2 linked regions of the Drosophila melanogaster genome follow. The protein of the gene in region 1 purifies or fractionates together with the protein of each later gene. This does not show direct contact. Each region holds a gene or a part of one and is shown on either strand. Other genes may lie near its edges.

Region 1 (3,777 bases):
GGCTGATAGTCAACGCGCAGCTTCTTGATGATCTTTTGGAAAAACTCGACTTTCTGTTCGTCAGCAGTGTTTTCCGTATTGTTCCAGTCCTGCAAGTCTAGGTGGCGGATGTGCTTGGCCTCCGGCAAGTAGACAATCTTGAATCCGTCACCGCAGAGCAGAGAGCGATAGTTCTTATCTTCCCCATTATCTGGGGCCTCTACTGGCACAAGTGCCACATAGCGAGGTATCGACTTGCGCTTGCACATGAACAGGCAAATGGCAATCTTGTCGCGCACCAAGCATCGTTCCCACAATGCGCGGAACAAGCGCTTCGATCCGATGATGCTCTGATCATCGGGGTACATGAAATTCGCTGGCTTGATGTAGCTAACTTCGGGAAGAGAGGATCGATGCTTGAAGCCCAGCAGCATCATTTGCGGCTTGTGCAGATTGCGCACCCTGTTCAACTGATCCATGCTGATGCGCAGATCCCTTTCGCCCACGTTGCAAGTGTACCAACCGCCCGTCACCTTAATCTGATACTCGTGCTCGATATCCTGCGAGCCATCGTCCTTTTGTTTTTGCACCGTAATCACTCGCTTAGTACGCACCACACTGTTGTCCCTGCGCAGGATTTGCACTTTGCGCGGATAGGCGCGTCGCTGAAAGTAATTGTAGTACTGTACGGACATGGATAGGTTGGGGCCCAGATAAAAACTGAAGTGGCCCAGGCATCGGCGAAGGAAATCCTGCTTCAACTTACGATCGGACAGGATTTCGCGCAGCATCTGGGCATCTGGCACCTGGAAGGCGTCCAGTTCGATAGCTGCAAAAAAGGTCCTCATTAAACATCATCTAGTGTACGGATTGCTATATATTTATTTTATTATTCTTGTAAGCCAATCCAAAACCACGAACCAATTGAGCTTCACTTGGATGCGGGTGAATGATTGCTTATATTTGATCTACGAAGTCTTAAAACCTTTCAGGCGAAAATTGAACGCCAAACAGGGGAACAGACTTCGCACATTAAAACCCATAAGAAATGAATAGCAGACTTAAAGGACTTACCTCTTGACAACGTGATGAACTCCTTGTAAAACGGCTCGTAGTCAAAGTCATCGACCATGGGAATGACATGAAACTCGAACTCCTTGCCCTCCAGATCGCTGGCCTTTTGCAGGGCAGCCTGGAAGTGATTGCTGTTCGATGGATGAGGTTCCCTGACGTCCGTGACATAGGCGATCTTGGCGTTGTTTAGCTTCTTGCCGCACTTTTCCAGCATCTCGATGCAGAGCCGGATCATAAGGTCAAACCTGCCGCGACCATCGGGTTCCGCCAGGCCATACACATCGGCGAACTGCGTCTCCACCCCGCCCATGAATTCCAGATAGTGCTCCACAATGGGTTTGGTTAGTTGGCGAAGGGGCAAGAACACTGCGCAGTTATCCGGCATTACGATGTTGTCCAATGCACTGGCTTCCAGCGGCGGCGGACTGTGCTTGGTGTTGGCGAAGATGAGTCCGATGAGGTCCTTGTCGTTAACCAGAAGTCCGGATATAAAGGCCGTCCGGATGATGTTCAGTGCCTCCAACAGGCGCTCCACGCCGGCTGTCTGAAGATTGGCGTCTACCACGAACAGAATGGCCTCGCGCCCATGGTAGTCCCGCTTCATGGACACATCCTCCTCGTCCTCGGACCCAGACAGCAGGTCCACATCGTTCTCCGGATTCCAGGTGCTCATTATGCGGCTTCTTTAGATTGCTAAAAATCTGACTTTCCGCTAATTTCACAAGAAGGCGGGCGCGCTTATCGTCGCTGTTGTTATCGATTGAGCTAGGGATGAGAGTCACGAAGAGAATTGATATATATTTAAATTTATTTAGACATTATTTAATGTTTTTAACATATTATATTATCCCAACGTTTATTTATATAATTATTTTAATATAAGTTAGTTTTACATTTTTATACGAAGTTGACCACCACCTTTCGATGACAGCCATTCAATCGATTGTTCCATCGCAATTTTGACTCATCGACTTTTACAGCGGCAGGCTGACCTCCTGAAAATTAAATTGCATTTGTAGACGGCACGGCTGAAGGCAACAGGATGACAGGAATAATGGACTCGGTGGAAATGCCCAAATTACCGGAAAACCAGAAGACCTTCGCCGGCATCCCGGAGGCAGTGTTCCTGGTGAGTGGTCCTAACCTACAAGCGTGCACCTGCAGCTGGACACTGCAGGCTAATTCGTGGTTCTTGGGCCCTTGCAGGAGGAGATCGACACCTTCATGTCGCAGCCGGAGAACGAAAATTGCGAAAAGGTGCTGCAGCGACTGGACGAGCAGCACGGCAAGTATCGATTCATGGCCTGCAATCTGGAGGCGCGGCGGCGCAAGTTGAAGTCTCAAATTCCGGACCTGGAGCGCTCCCTGGAAATGGTCAATGTGCTTCGCAAGGAGGACGAGGAGCGCGAGACGCAATTCCTGCTCAGCGACCAGGTGTTCATCAAGACACTGGTGCCGCCCACGAAAACAGTATACCTCTGGCTGGGGGCCAGCGTGATGCTGGAGTATCCGCTAGACGAGGCGGAGGCTCTGCTGAACCAGAACATCACATCGGCCGTGGGCAACCTAAAGTCCGTGGAGCACGATCAGGATTTTCTGAGGTCAGTTCGAGTGCTGTTATTCAAGTTACTTGTTTTATTGTATTATAAATGTATATTTTAGGGATCAAATCACAACTACGGAGGTGAACATGGCGCGGGTCTACAACTGGGGCGTGAAAAAGCGGCAGGCCGCTACCAAGACCACCGCCACTACCCCATCCTAAGGAGACCCACCCAAATCCCATCCCAAGATCAACATCGGTAGCAGCCACTCGCATCTTATTTATTTCGACAGTACACCGCAAGGGCTCGGCAGGCGATTCCACCTGGCTTATTCTTGTTCTCCACTGATAGCAATAAAACCGCCACACAAACGCATCAAGCTGACTCCAAACGAGATGCCTATTCCGGAGGAATGTAATATTTTAATTTGGCTACGGGCATTTAACTGCATGTAAACCGAATAAACGGCGAACGCAATTCATTGAGAGTAAAGCCGAATTCACAAATCATAGGATTAGGGTTCAGTTTATTTCAAATCTTTAACATCCGGAACTTACACGCCTCATTTGACCTCCCACTTCATGGATTGGTGCAGGTAGTCGCCATCGGGACTGACGTAATCCTTAATGGGGGGCGTGGCAACGGGTCCTTTGACGGCGACGGGCAGCAGCTGGGGATCGATATCGATGGCCGCCTGGTAGAGCTCCTCGGACTCGCGCCGAAGTTCCGCCAGCGCCTTGTTTTGCGCCTGGACCAGCCGGTCGATGATCTGAAAGTCTGCTACGCGCTCGTCGTGCTTGTAGTGCGCCCACTGCTTCTTGAGGAGAGCACGTTCCTCCAACTGGTCGATGGTCAGTGGAGCTAGCTTCCGCTGCCGTTTGCTGAACGATAGGATAGCATTACATCTCAGCATATGAGGGAAACCCGTATGAGAACCTACTCCTTTTCGTCGATGAGCTCCAGTGGAACCTCCAGTTCATCCACGGGCTTCAGCTGACGGGCATTCTTCTCCAGCCGGCGAATCTGCTTTTCGATCTTCTTCTTCTTGCGATCCTCGCGCTGCTTGACAATCTGCGGATCCAGTTTCTTCTTTTTCTTCAGGGGCTCCGCACAAAGAACTGGTGTCGTGTGGAGGCAACGTGCAAAGGCGGCACCGGCGACGCCGCCACTTCTCTGCAGA
Region 2 (5,087 bases), on another chromosome or scaffold:
TGAGTTTAATGTGATAAAATGGACAAAAATGTATTCCCTTTTAATACATTTTTCAACATAGCTACTATCTTTCGATTAAACTTTGTATTTATTTCATTGACATTAATTAAAACTTAATGTTATGTCAGGCAAGTGGGATGTTTTAGCACACTAAAACGGGATTTGCGTTTTATTCGTTTTCATGTAGTATGGCCACACTGCGGCCATCGTATAAAAGCCCGCGCTCTCCAAAGCGAATGCACTAATTTTTCCAAGTGTGTGAAGCGGACAGTTTGTGTTGTGTTCGACTGCTATAAGCGAAAGATAATTTTAAGTTAAAAGTTCAAAAGCCTAAAACAAATACAAAATGAGGGAAATCGTTCACATCCAAGCTGGTCAGTGCGGCAACCAAATCGGCGCCAAGGTAAGTTTTCCCATTTGCATTTTCCATTCATTTTCCATCCAGAGTACAGTTGCCAAAATGGCGTCATTTTTGCACGACTTCGCTGTCCATGTGGCAAAAATTTGTATTGAGGCCGGCATTTTCACACTCACACATTTGCATTTATGTATACCAAGTTGTGTGCGTGTGTGTGTCGAGTGGTCTTTTTGAGTCCCGGCATCTGTGTTTGTATATACCGCATATTTGTCCGATTTCGCAAAGATGCTTGAAAATTGTTGTTCTACTCTGGCATTTGGGGTCCAAAATTTAGAACGAAAGTTTGTTACGCCCGAATTTCCGATCGATATAATGCTTTAGGGCCATTGACATTCGCATATGTACTTCGTGCCCATATGTATGTACATATGTAAGTAATTATAGTTGGGTGTGTCTGCAATTACACCGACGCTGGTGGCTGTGTGTATGCCTGTGTGCGTGTTGCATGCATGAGTCATTTTCTCTTGGGCGAAAGACTTTCATAGTTTTTCACCGGTTGTGAAAGCCATTTCACTGCCCAGATGGTGAAGGGTACTTTTCTATCGTCAAAACACGATAGCTTTTCTACACGCACATAAGAGCTTGCTGCTCATTTGTATGTGTGAGCGTCGGCCGGTTTTTTCATTTAATTTTTTTTTTTTTGCCGCTATGCGTCTTCTAAAGAGAAAACATGACGTCATTTTAACCTAAAATGGCTGAACCGGTCGTCGTTGAACGGTTCGCAGAACGTATAAGAGTTGATCTTATACGTAGATGGGATATAAGTATGTAGATATATGTGTTCGTAGGCTGCATTAGCTGTTCTATTGATTTTCATGCATTCCACACTCTGCTCCCTACTTAAAATTGCGCTACTTCGGCGGCTTCTCTATCTTATCATGGAATGAAACAATTTTCTATTTTTTATTCATGACTATAGTATAGACAGATTTCGGTTCTCTTTCGGCCATTATGTGCCAAAATGAAACTTTACTTTTAGCAGTAGGAATTGGGAGTCTGCAAGGTGAGATGATGACCTTATATAGAGGAATTTGCCATCTGTTTGTCTCTATCCCAGTTTCCTCTCGCACACAAAAAGCAACGAAACCGAGAAGGGCGGTGCTGCACATGCGTGTGGGATAACGGGGCACAGGACACGAAGGTGATGTTGATGATGACGAATCTTTCTAGTCCTTGCCCGAAAAATCAATACCCACATGCTGGGCATGGGCCCATGAGCCGAAAACAACCCTCGGAAACGCCTTAAAACCCGAGCAGCTGCAACATCAGAATTGTTGTGCCCAAGTATGGCTCTCAATATCTCTCTCTCTCGCTTTCGACCCGACCGGCTTACAAATGTGTATTTCTATATTTATATATACACTTTATATACATAGAATCCGGTATGACGGTGTCATTTCGCTAAACGAGTGTCAACCACGCATTTCCTCCAATACCAGTGTAGCGACTTATTTCGGTTAATTGTTTTTATTTGTTTACGCGACATAAACAACGACCATCGCAAAAAGTTCAGGTGACGTAATGCCCTGAAAAACAGACGATTTATGCGCCAGATGGTCGGTAGTTGGAGCACTGAGCTGCAGTTTTAACCTCTCAGCAAACAGACAACGCCAACGCCTCTCTCCAACTGGTACCCACTGCTCCTCCCACTCCTCCTCCGTTTCCCTCTTGCAGAGACGAGAGTGGGTCGCGAGACCCGAACAACCGGTGATGTAAGCCGCATCGGAAGCAGGGGGGCTTTTTGGGGTGGCAGAGCCCGGCTCTGAGGTCGCCGGCATTGCGTGGGGGCAGCACGTAGACATATAGACAGACAGACAGATAGTAGTTATACAGCTCAGTTCCAGCCCACGCCCGAAGATTCGAGTAAGATCGGTCGGCGGAACGCAATGACAGCTGCGCCTCGAGATCCGAAACGAAAACCCACGCCAGATGACGTTATCGTTGGTGTGGCGATGGTGCTGCTGGTCGTGGTGGTGGAAACGCACCAAAAATGGCAGCGAATAAGTTATGTTAATCGGAGCTCGGCCCATACACAGAGTTTATGATGGCGTACATGGGTGGCCTAAACCACGTAGCCGAGCCCAGACATGTGTATGTACATCGGCTGCTTCTTGTGCCCATTTATTCCAATCAATAAAGAGTTATATATAGACTGACTTTCCATAACCCATCACACATTTTGTTCGAGAAGGTTTCTGTATCGAAGTTATCTGTATAAGTTAAGAGAAAAACAAGAAAATAAGATTGCCTTTCACATGCATCAACTTTCACTGGGTATGGAAGAAAAATTTTAAGCAAATTACTTGCAGAATTGGAAATGAGTTTCAGTGATTAGTAAAAGTTTTCTTCAACTGCAGTACTCTTGTGCAAATAAAAGTTACCGTTGCTTAAGCATAAACTTCTTTTGTGATTTATGTGAAGCAGTCAAATAAATACTAGCTGTATATATGTATGCAGCAGATGGTCTAGGCTTTGAGTAATTTTACTACCATTGATTTTCTGTGATGACTCATTGGCCAAGTCATTCATACATTTTCTTAAGACTGAGTTAGAAAACACCCCCTAGTAATCGATTTTCCTGCTGACTCATGTTCACAAGAAATGCTGTACAGCACCTGCAAGTCCTAATCGCACTAATCCCAAATTCTTTACTTCCATTTCTCATTTGCAGTTCTGGGAGATCATCTCCGATGAGCATGGCATCGATGCCACCGGCGCCTACCACGGTGACAGCGACCTGCAGCTGGAGCGCATCAATGTGTACTACAATGAGGCGTCCGGTGGCAAGTACGTGCCCCGCGCTGTCCTTGTCGATCTGGAGCCCGGCACCATGGACTCTGTGCGATCGGGACCTTTCGGCCAGATCTTCAGGCCCGACAACTTTGTGTTCGGCCAGTCGGGTGCCGGCAACAACTGGGCCAAGGGTCATTACACAGAGGGTGCTGAGCTGGTGGACTCAGTGCTCGATGTTGTCCGCAAGGAGGCCGAATCCTGCGACTGCCTGCAAGGCTTCCAACTCACACACTCCCTTGGCGGCGGCACTGGCTCCGGTATGGGAACCCTGCTGATTTCCAAGATCCGCGAGGAGTACCCCGACAGGATCATGAACACATACTCGGTTGTGCCGTCGCCCAAGGTGTCGGACACCGTTGTGGAGCCCTACAACGCCACCCTGTCGGTGCACCAGCTGGTCGAGAACACGGACGAGACCTACTGCATCGACAACGAGGCTCTCTACGATATCTGCTTCCGCACCCTCAAGCTGACGACACCCACATACGGTGACCTGAACCATCTTGTCTCCCTGACCATGTCCGGCGTAACCACCTGCCTCCGATTCCCCGGCCAACTGAACGCTGATCTCCGCAAGCTGGCCGTCAACATGGTGCCCTTCCCACGTCTTCACTTCTTCATGCCCGGCTTCGCTCCCCTGACCTCCCGAGGATCCCAGCAGTACCGCGCCCTCACCGTGCCCGAGCTGACCCAGCAGATGTTCGATGCCAAGAACATGATGGCCGCCTGCGACCCACGCCACGGACGCTACCTTACCGTCGCCGCCATCTTCCGTGGACGCATGTCCATGAAGGAGGTCGACGAGCAGATGCTGAACATCCAGAACAAGAACAGCTCCTACTTCGTCGAATGGATCCCCAACAACGTGAAGACCGCCGTGTGCGACATCCCGCCCCGTGGTCTGAAGATGTCCGCCACCTTCATCGGCAACTCCACTGCCATCCAGGAGCTGTTCAAGCGCATCTCCGAGCAGTTCACCGCTATGTTCAGGCGCAAGGCTTTCTTGCATTGGTACACCGGCGAGGGCATGGACGAGATGGAGTTCACCGAGGCCGAGAGCAACATGAACGATCTGGTGTCCGAGTACCAGCAGTACCAGGAGGCCACCGCCGACGAGGACGCCGAGTTCGAGGAGGAGCAGGAGGCTGAGGTCGACGAGAACTAAATTCGAATCGGAAATCAATCGAATTCTCGATCAATGTTTTGCGAAAAAAAATGAAACGAGAACAAATGAATTCAGTTGTAAAAGATTTGTTCTCTTAACAACGTAATCAATAAAGTCGGATCCAATTTTGTTCACAAGTCTAAACAATTATGGTTTTTGTTGGGGTTTCTTATAATTAATAAGAGAGATATCAATCATTTTACGAGGATTATGAGACTGCGTTTTGTAGTCCAAGAAAGCTGATTAATGTTTAGAGTGTTGGTATAAATGTTAATAGGCTCATTAATGTAGGTTTTGACAAAAGCGAGGTATTTGTACATTTTCTCATTGTATTATTTGGATTCACAAATTTATGTTTATTTAATCGGGTTTCTCCCAGCTAAAAACAATAGAAATCTTTTCACCGGCTGTGTTTGTTTTGGACATGGTTATGTTGTGATGATTGATAATTTCATTCACATTAGTTTATTTATAGACCTTTTTTATTTATTGACAATGATTTGCCCTACCTACCTCAACTTTCGAGCAAATGCTGCATAAACAAAAGTAATTCGCCCTTGAAGAGGACATGACATGATATTTTCAGCGTAGGAAGTGGGCCTACGTACCATTGTGGTTCAGACGGCCTTGTATGCAATAAATCTAATTAATATATATATATATATATATTATGGTAGTCTTAACGCTACGGTTTCCCACACGCGATTTTCA

Evidence for each region.
Region 2: the proteins of mgr (region 1) and betaTub56D purify together in Drosophila melanogaster (affinity purification with western blotting; one study listed by BioGRID). This does not show direct contact.

The regions. Positions count from the first base shown.
Region 1 is NT_033777.3:11,408,087-11,411,863, reverse strand, and holds mgr (merry-go-round), read left to right. Parts: upstream 1-1,988; 5' UTR 1,989-2,095; coding exon 2,096-2,182; intron 2,183-2,259; coding exon 2,260-2,654; intron 2,655-2,715; coding exon 2,716-2,818; 3' UTR 2,819-3,072; downstream 3,073-3,777. Other genes in the region: Irbp (inverted repeat-binding protein), read right to left, coding at 1-808, 1,054-1,726; mRpL40 (mitochondrial ribosomal protein L40), read right to left, coding at 3,160-3,478, 3,538-3,777. UniProt on the Drosophila melanogaster protein: Binds specifically to cytosolic chaperonin (c-CPN) and transfers target proteins to it. Binds to nascent polypeptide chain and promotes folding in an environment in which there are many competing pathways for nonnative proteins.
Region 2 is NT_033778.4:19,446,749-19,451,835, reverse strand, and holds betaTub56D (beta-Tubulin at 56D), read left to right. Parts: upstream 1-2,236; 5' UTR 2,237-2,425; coding exon 2,426-2,509; intron 2,510-3,089; coding exon 3,090-4,376; 3' UTR 4,377-4,517; downstream 4,518-5,087. UniProt on the Drosophila melanogaster protein: Tubulin is the major constituent of microtubules, a cylinder consisting of laterally associated linear protofilaments composed of alpha- and beta-tubulin heterodimers.